Linked DNA regions of Arabidopsis thaliana. The protein of the gene in region 2 interacts with the protein of the main gene of each other region in a pairwise test. Each region holds a gene or a part of one and is shown on either strand. Other genes may lie near its edges.

What was found. Proteins that work in one complex are often made in the same cells at the same time.
Region 1: the proteins of RAV2 (region 2) and AT3G25990 interact in a two-hybrid assay, tested with the Arabidopsis thaliana proteins (one study listed by BioGRID).

Annotation. Positions count from the first base shown.
Region 1 is NC_003074.8:9,504,118-9,508,908, reverse strand, and holds AT3G25990 (Homeodomain-like superfamily protein), read left to right. Parts: upstream 1-2,121; 5' UTR 2,122-2,205; coding exon 2,206-2,728; intron 2,729-3,009; coding exon 3,010-3,048; intron 3,049-3,327; coding exon 3,328-3,456; intron 3,457-3,558; coding exon 3,559-3,783; intron 3,784-3,860; coding exon 3,861-4,063; 3' UTR 4,064-4,232; downstream 4,233-4,791. Other genes in the region: AT3G26000 (Ribonuclease inhibitor), read left to right, coding at 367-1,248, 1,388-1,867; MAD2 (DNA-binding HORMA family protein), read right to left, coding at 4,507-4,566, 4,648-4,769. UniProt on the Arabidopsis thaliana protein: Probable transcription factor that binds specific DNA sequence.
Region 2 is NC_003070.9:25,878,001-25,882,791, reverse strand, and holds RAV2 (uncharacterized protein), read right to left. Parts: upstream 2,470-4,791; 5' UTR 2,351-2,469; coding exon 1,292-2,350; 3' UTR 1,242-1,291; exon of another isoform or gene 837-1,241; intron 827-836; 3' UTR 570-826; downstream 1-569. Other genes in the region: AT1G68845 (uncharacterized protein), read right to left, coding at 1-27, 96-358.

The DNA.
Region 1 (4,791 bases), on a different chromosome or scaffold from region 2:
AAAACAAAAAAAAAAAGGAAAAATCAAATTTATTCAATTCATTCTTTTTGTGTTACCCAAATTCGGTTGTTAATACGTCTCAATTTCGAATTTCTTTTCTAGGGTTTTTTAGGGTTCCAAGGAAGCTCTCAAAATTTCTGGTGCCTAGTATTTTTTTGTTGCCATCTGAAATCAAGAGTTTCCTTTTTCTCTCCATAGATCTATTAATTCATCTTTCGATTATCCAAAAAAAAAAATAACTTTTTAGTTTATCTTCGGATCTGATCTATCTTCTTTAGGGGGTTTTGAGTTTTTCTAGGGATTGTGTACAAAAGAGGGATTTTTTTGGTTTTGTTAGGTTTAAAGTGTATATAGAGATTAATAGAAATGGCTTTAAATTTTTCACATAGACCTTTTTCTTCTCATCTATCTGAGGAACCAATGATGATAGCCAATGGGAATTGGTGTTCAAGTTTCGATAATGGAAGGAAGAATACTGGAGGAGATGCTTCTTCTGTTGATATACTTGATGTTTTGCCATCTGATCCGTTTGGTATGGATATCAACAATACTTTCACGGCTATTACTGGATGGCTTGAGGATTTGGAGGATGATTATAATAACCAATATGGAAGAAGAAGAAGAGATGACATTTGGATTGGTGATGGAAACCGTCAGCAGCTGTTTGCTGGATTGAGTTTCTTTTGGAACAATGCAATGCAGTTTCAGAGTAGTGGTTACAGTTATGGATCAGAGTCATTGTTTGGTGGGGCGTTTGATGGGTCTCTGTTTTCCACATGTAAATTCCCTGAAAGTAGTGGGGAAAATAATGGGTTTGGAGGGGCATTAGATGGTGATGGATCTTGTCATGGTGCTTTCATATCTGCTAGTAGTGTTGATGAGGTATTGAGCCATGAGAATGCGAGGAATGGTGAAGTTGTAGGAAGTAGTGATCGCTGCAATAATGGAGAAGAGGATGCGTATGTTCATCCAGCGATTGGTTTTTGTCTTTATCACTTGCGAGGGAAGGATCTTCTTTCAGTTAGTATGGTTTGCAAGTCTTTGCATACTACTGTTTGTGATGACACGTTACTTTGGAAGCATATCCACATTTGTCGACCGTTGAATGAGAAGATCACGGAAGAGGCTCTACTGCATTTAACTGAGAGGGCTCAGGGTACTATGCAGTGTTTGAGGATCGTAGATTGCTGTAGAATTACTGATGATTGTCTTAAGCGGGTGGTGGCGCGCAACCGACAAGTAGTCAAGGTGAGCTTCTTTCCTTAATTTACTTTAAAGCGTATTTGGATTACTAATAAGTAATATTGTAAGTTTTTATAGAAGTGCCTGGTAATTGAATTGATTTGTGGGATCCTATTAAAACCGAATGTTGTTTTGTGGTTGGCAGATTGGTGTGCCTGGATGCACAAGGATAACTATCGATGGTATTTTGAGCGTCTTGAGGGATCTGAAGTCTGCGGGAAAGCTTCAAGTGAAGCATTTACAACTTCGTGGCCTCTTTGGAGTGACTAAAGATCACTACGATGAACTGATTGACTTGTTGAACATTGACAATAAAGTCAAGCAGACTATTCAGAAGCCGCGTTTTTACCATAGAGGAGAAGCTTGTGTGTCCTGTGATGATGACCGGGCACTAGATATTGAGATGTGCCCAAAGTGTCAAAATTTTAAGCTTGTGTATGACTGTCCAGCAGAAGATTGTAAAGGGAAAAAGAAAGGTTCTGAGGAATGCCGTGCTTGTTCTCTTTGCATACAGAGGTGTTATCATTGTGGTCGGTGCATCATTGACACTGAATACGAAGAAATGTTTTGTTTAGAGCTTTTGTGTGCTGTTTGTTCGAAGCCGACCCCTAAGTTAACTCTCTAGGTATAAAATTCCATCTGAGCCTTTCTCTTCTCTATGATTGAATGACTCAGTCTCCACGGTTCAATGGAGATGATCTTCAACTATCTCTAGAACCTTTTTTTTTTTAAACAATAAAAATATGTTCCATTTCATATTTGTTGAACACTCTTATCTTTATTATTGGAGATCTATTAAAAGTTTGCATCTTTGGGTTGTTCTTGTTCTTCATCTAATAATCAAACAAGAGAGATCATTTATGTAAATTTAAGATAAGCTTTGACAAATAATTAAAGACTCACGCGCCTTTTATATTAATCTTTGACATCTTCTGCTATCTCTCCTTCTTCCTTGGAGAAAACATGTTTGTTTCCGATAACAACAATCCTTCACGGGACATAAACATGATGATCGGCGATGTTACATCAAACGGAGATCTACAGCCACACCAGATCATCCTCGGAGAAAGCAGTGGAGGAGAGGATCATGAGATCATCAAAGCACCAAAGAAACGAGCAGAGACATGGGCACAAGACGAGACTCGAACCTTAATCTCATTACGGAGAGAAATGGACAATCTTTTCAACACTTCCAAATCTAACAAACATCTCTGGGAACAGATTTCTAAGAAAATGAGAGAGAAAGGGTTTGATCGATCACCATCTATGTGTACGGACAAGTGGAGGAACATATTGAAAGAGTTTAAGAAAGCTAAGCAACATGAAGATAAAGCAACAAGTGGAGGATCAACGAAGATGTCTTATTACAATGAGATTGAAGATATTTTCAGAGAAAGAAAGAAGAAAGTGGCATTCTATAAGAGTCCTGCTACTACTACACCATCTTCTGCTAAAGTTGATTCCTTTATGCAATTTACAGATAAAGGTACAATCTTTAGCTTGGTTTTGGGGATTCTGATTGATTTGTTGCAGGTTTGGATAAAATTTCTTAATGGGTTTTGGTTTAGATTTGGATTGAGAAGATAAAGACTGATCTTTTTTGGTTTTAGTTTTGTTCCTCTTTTAGTGCTAAACCTGGTTAAAGAGGCTTTTGACCATTAATGGCTAATTATAAAGTTGTAGATTTGGTTTGTTAAACTAGATTGACTTTTTATAGTAAATTTGGGTTTTCTTCTAAAATTGATCTTTATCTTTATCTTCTTGTAGGTTTTGAAGATACTGGTATTTCATTTACATCTGTTGAAGGTATTGATCTCACATTTATTGAATCTTTGAGTGTATATATAAATGGTGGTGTTGAAATCTTTTTTAGTTGGGGAATTACTTTGAGAGAAATGGTTGTATCAGTCCTAACTTTGGGTAAACAATTGTGCAACAACTTATGATTCTCTTATAATTCAGTGAAATAAAAGTGAACTCATACCAAATTGTAGAATGTTAGTGATAATGTGAAGCCGATTTTGTTTGGTTTGTGGAAGTAGTGTTAGTCACTTTAGTCTTGATATGAGTTGTATCTGTATGCAGCTAATGGCAGGCCAACGCTAAATCTTGAAACGGAGCTTGATCATGATGGTCTTCCTCTCCCCATTGCTGCTGATCCCATCACAGCAAATGGAGTTCCTCCTTGGAATTGGAGAGACACCCCTGGAAATGGTAAGTAACCAGACAATCTAACTTAGAGAGAGCCTCTCCTTGTTTATTAAGCTTTTGAACTTTTATGGCAACTACTACTAATCGTTGTCATGTTTGAAGCAGGCGTTGATGGTCAGCCATTTGCTGGGAGGATCATAACGGTGAAATTTGGAGATTACACAAGACGAGTTGGGATTGATGGTACTGCTGAAGCAATTAAGGAAGCTATCAGATCCGCGTTTAGATTGAGAACAAGACGAGCTTTTTGGCTAGAAGATGAAGAACAGGTTATTCGCTCTCTTGACCGAGACATGCCTTTAGGGAACTATATACTCCGCATTGATGAAGGTAAATCCACTCTTTCTTCTATGCTATTCATCGAATACTCTCTGGTTAGAGGTTTCTCAATATCCATTTGAATTCAGGGATAGCCGTTAGAGTGTGCCACTATGATGAATCTGATCCGTTACCAGTCCATCAAGAGGAGAAGATATTCTACACCGAAGAAGATTACCGAGATTTCTTGGCTCGACGAGGATGGACATGTCTGAGAGAGTTTGACGCGTTTCAAAACATAGACAATATGGACGAGCTTCAATCCGGTCGCTTATACAGAGGAATGAGATGAGAAAACGGTTACTACAGAAGGCTAGAAGAAACCTTTTATTTTTCATCAGTCACTATAAATAGCTTTTTTTGATCCAAAATACTTTATTTTCATCAGTCACTGTACATATGCACCTCTTTTGACATGCCATTGTGAATCAGAGGAATTTGATTTGTTTATTGAGAAATCTCTTTTTGATCCAAGAGCCATAAAGTTTGATTGGTAAACAAAACGGTTCAGTACAAGAGACAGGGACAATGAAAAAGCTGATAACTTTTGAACAAAACACAACACAAGTACAGGATTCCAATTCTCATACAATTCAGAAAAAGAAAAAAAACAGAAGAGAAAACGATATAGGTGTGTGAATAAAGGATTCACGTGCCTTTAAGAACAATGAGAACTCCCAAAGAGATAAACGCAAGCTGAACAAAGAGCCTTGCATACGTGTGTCCCGACTTCTGTTACTCTTCTTCATCCCACTCGTCGTTCTTGTATGAGACAAGCGTGTCGACTTTGTGAATCTGCAAAGTATGAAACCACCAAAATACTTAGACATTTCAAAGTGTATAAATAAAGGTTTCAAAATTCTTCCTCCTCCTTACCTTGGTATCAAAACCGTGTAACTTAACCATCTGTGGATTAGCAATCAACTTCGGGTCGCTCTCGATCCAAGTGAATGGAACAGCCACATCAGTATCCGTATACGCCAATACATCAAACACACCTAATACAAACAACATGCACAA
Region 2 (4,791 bases):
AACCTCGCCAGATGTGAGATCTTATCTCTTCAAATGGTAAAACATCATTAATGAATCGTGTCGGGAAACAAGGAAACCCGAAGCAATAATCATACTTACTTACCAACAAGGAACGAATCAGTTTCTTGCCGCCCCACTCATGCTCGCTTGCGTAAACAACATCAACCCTAACCTCTACCATGAACTGAGCGTAAGTAAGTGTCTCCTCGAACAGTAAACCCATGTCAACATACGACTGGGAGTAGTGAGACTTCACGGATAAACCCTTACCAACCCGTTGAGAATCGTATCGTTTTAAACCCGCGCGGGTCAAACATCTCTGTTTTGCGACTTTTTCACACTTCCGATGGCTAATCATACCGCAATGTTCACAAAAATCCCCAAGATTCTTGTACTTGAACTGAACAAACTGAAGCCATACAACCTCTAGCAATGGTTACGTACCATTCCGTTCACCAGCCTAGTCGTGTGAGGTTTGCCAGAAGCACTATAAGTCGCTTGAATCTGTTCGGGAACACATTACTATATTTTGGATTTCGTTCAGTTTACATATTTCTGTTTTGAGGTTAAAAGATTTCAGTCATTTATTAATGGTTCGACCTTTGGGGAACGAAACCTAGCTTATACCAATACCAGAAAACTTCGAGACGATAAGAGGCAGACTACTGCTAATTTGTAAGCTTGAATGGTGCCTTGACAATGTGGGCTATGAAGTGGTGAATTTCGAGAATGACTCTACAATTACATCATTCATGCCATATCCTCCCCTCAAGATTGGTCGAGACTCCAAGGTTGCTAACTTTTTTTTTTTTTTTTTTTTGCAAAACTTGTAAATATCATTAGAAATGAAAATAAAGGAATTACAGAAGCAACACCTAGAGTAGAGTAATCTTGGAAAAAAAGAGAGTAAAAGGTTGCTAACTTGCTATGTGAGATCATTAAGACACCTATGAGCATCCTTTAGTTGCCAAGTAAGAGAAATAAGTCCTTGTACGGTAATGGATGAAATTGCCAAGAATTCATCCTCTTTTTCCGATTTATCATGCAATTTTAGATAGTTAATTAATTTGATTCATCTAGTTTTAGGAACGGATAAACATTTAGGTTGTATCCGGTAACGTTTTACTATGAGGTAGGTCTATTTACCACTTTTCCACAAAACCATTGTTCCAATTTATTTTTTGGTCTTATCTCTTTTCCTAAATACAACCTAGCATGAATCACAACCTACACAACTTGACAAAAAAAAAAAATTAAAAAACGAAAGCATAAAATCGGAAAAGGAAATATGTCACAAAGCATTGATTATCGCCTGCTTCTTGGAACACCGTAACGCAAACATATCATCAACATCTCGAGATCTCTTTCCACCGCAAACGGCCACGACGTCGTTTGGCTTCACGGTGGTCACATTAAAGATATCAACTCCGAAAAGCCGAACCACCACCTGAACCGGGTTTTCTCTCGGACCAGACCGAACTTTCCAATCAATATATAACTGCCGCTCTAGTCCGGTCGATCTCTCGAAAGTAACAACATCACCGGCTCGAAGATTCTTCTCCTTGACGAATCGACTCCATCCCTTGGTCAACACGTAACTTTGACTACTGTTCCAGTATGAGTAACGGAACCTCCACACTTTACCGTTAACGTCTTCGAAGTTGATCAAAACTCCTTTAGTCACTGCCGGTGACGGTGACGGTAACGGAAAGTGTTTCTCGGCGTGTTGTTTAGGTATCACGAGACGGTTTAGCTTCCCAACGTCGCTAGGTGTAACAGCCTTCTCGAAAAGAACTTCACGCGTCTTTAAAACTTTGTCGTTTTGAGTAGTACTCGATCCGTTACGTTTTCCGTTAGCGTCGACGGAGAGAAACAACTGCCGTTTATTGTTCTGTTCAAGCTCGTCGGCGTAAGTGTGTTTTCTCAACATGTCGACGATCTCGGCCTTTGAGTGAGCTTCAAGAAAAGCTAAATCGCCGTCTTCCAGAACGTTCTTGAAGTTGACGACGGCGTCGCGGCCACGGAATCTACAAGCTGCGATGTCGTAGGAACGAGCAGCTTCTTCTTGCTCGTTGAAAGTCCCGAGCCATACTCGTTGGTGCTTCTCGTAGATCTGAGCTCCCCATCTTCCGTTAGGCTGAGGAACAACACCTTTGTATTTTGAAGATGGTAGCTTTCGTGACTCCGTCTCTAGGCCGTTCTCGGGATCCAACACGACGCTGCTCCCGCCGCTTCCCATCCGGTAGAGGCGTAACGCCGCCGCGGGAGGAGGAGAGAGCTTCTTGGCGGTGGTGGCGGAGAAAGATTCTGAAGTGGAGGAACTTATCTCGTCTATGCAACTAGAATCCATTTTCTTTGTTTCAGTTTCTTGAAGATTCTCACCAAACCAAGAAACAAAAATTATAACCTTTTAGCAGAAAGAAGAAACACAAATTGGGTGAGAGAGATTTAGGTGACGTTGTTACTTTTTCATTTCTTTGGTTCATCTATATATATACAAAGACATATGATGATGTGAGGAATGGACGAGGCAAGTGCATGTACATGTTATTATTTTATATCTAATTAGTTTTATGTTTTTGAAAGTTAAAATTTGATTGGTTTATGGAAAAAAATGGGTCAAAATGAGAGAACATTTTAAAAATGGAAAGGTAGGGTCAACGCTTTCAAGAACGGCAAAAATAACTTTGAAGGAAGTTTCCGAGAAGGGCAGACAAAAATAAATGTAGTACCACGGCTTTTACATACATATCGTACGTTTGTTATGTACATTTTTTGGAAAAATATTTCAACGGCGTAAGAACATTTTCTTACAACACATTACCACGTACTTTCATAAAATAAGGTTCTCATCAATCATCATATAAGTTGTTGAAACTGATATATAACCATAGTCAAAATTATTATTTTTATTGGATAACGAGAATTTCTTGGTTTTATAACTTATATATAGTTTCCGAAAAAAGATGGGTAGTATAGATTAGATATAGTTAAACATTAACTCTTGATTTTATTCATGATATTAGGGATAATAATATCCCACATTAGAAAAGACAAAGAAATCTTGACTAGTATATAAGACATATATGAGTCAATCTATTTATTAATAGTTGGTTTTGAATTAGATACCTCATATTCTAATATGGTATTAGAATCTGATCCATATGTATTCAATCCAATCTACAATTGGTCCGACGTAATTATAGTTTTTCTGTCGATCTATATCTGAACATACTAAAATTAATGGCTCGGAAAAAAATTATCTCGAGAAAACGTTTTAAGGATAATAATATCGCATTGAAAAGAAACAATTTTTTTGACTAAAATATTACATATAGACAAATCCACTTATTATCAATTAAATTTGAATGAAAAGTTCATATTCTAATAGATCATTAATTCATTGATTTATTATCAATGATCAATCCATATCAAATTTTATGTACAATTCAACACAGTTATGACATTCTAGATGCTTGGAGGAGAAACTAATTCACTAAATATCGATATGTTTTTCAACAATCCAAATATGTTCAATTATCTTGCTACATTTTGACATACATAGAAGAGTCAGATAAACAAAAAAAAGTCAGAGAAGAAGAAAATAAAATAAAATTAAGTCATTGACAAAAAACAATACATACAAATGAATAACCAATGGGTTACATGTTCATGGTAAATGTGGACCTACCAAGAGGGTCAAGTGGGATGGGGGCTCACATGAACCTATCCTCACTTCTTTTTTTGGTATATTTTAGTTCATCCCCCTTTGAAGCAATTGTTGTATGACCATATTTTTTTCACCATCTTTATATTTTTATTGGTTAAATGTTTTGTAAATTGATTAGAAAACAAAAAAGAGACTTTTGGATAGGTTGGTCGCAAGGATTATGATCTTATCTGATACTGTTGTCTCATACACTCATACAAATATCGTAACATATTCTGCTTTTTATTATATTTTTCAGTTTCCTTCTTAATTTGTAGCTCTTCAATAGAAAATGTTTTGTATTAATTTTGCAATAAGCAAACACTAATAATTCTCTTTATACAACTTACCATGTGGTATATGATATTTCTAATTTGTTACATAATATATAGAATAGTATCGATGTATGTATCTCTATATATATTTGAGAGAAAGAAAAATGGATTTATTGTGGACATGGCGTGATGTTCCCGCTTGGGAGGGGAGACAATTTGACTAGTTTGAGCTTATCCAACCAAATATTTTTGAAACACTCCAACGTTGATACGTTTTAATTTTCACCCTTTTAAATAGTTTTCACTTTACATATTTATAGCTTTTTACTAGTTTGTAACTATAATGTTCATATCGTCCGATTGTTTCTTGAATGAACAATTATTTTGTATTGATTTTTTTATATAATCGTAGACACGTATAATACTATCTTTGAGGTATGAACCGATAAATTTGTTGCTACCAATAAAAACTGAAAACACACTGTATTTCATAAATTTAAGATACCATCCGAATATGTTCTCTTACTACTTACTAGACTACTAGTCCAACTCAAATTAATTTGATTAAGAAGAATTAATTATATACTTGAATCCATATCTATTTAAACACTACAATATGTATTTCTATATCACCTCTCATCATCCCAACACATTTAATTTATCAATTAATATGAAACTTCAATAACCATCCAAATCACATGATAAGTTTGAATGCTGAATCAGTAATAATAAATAAAAATAAAAACATCAGCGAACAAGAAAATTAAGCATATTTTGCTAAACCCTCTCATGTTAACTATGGGAATT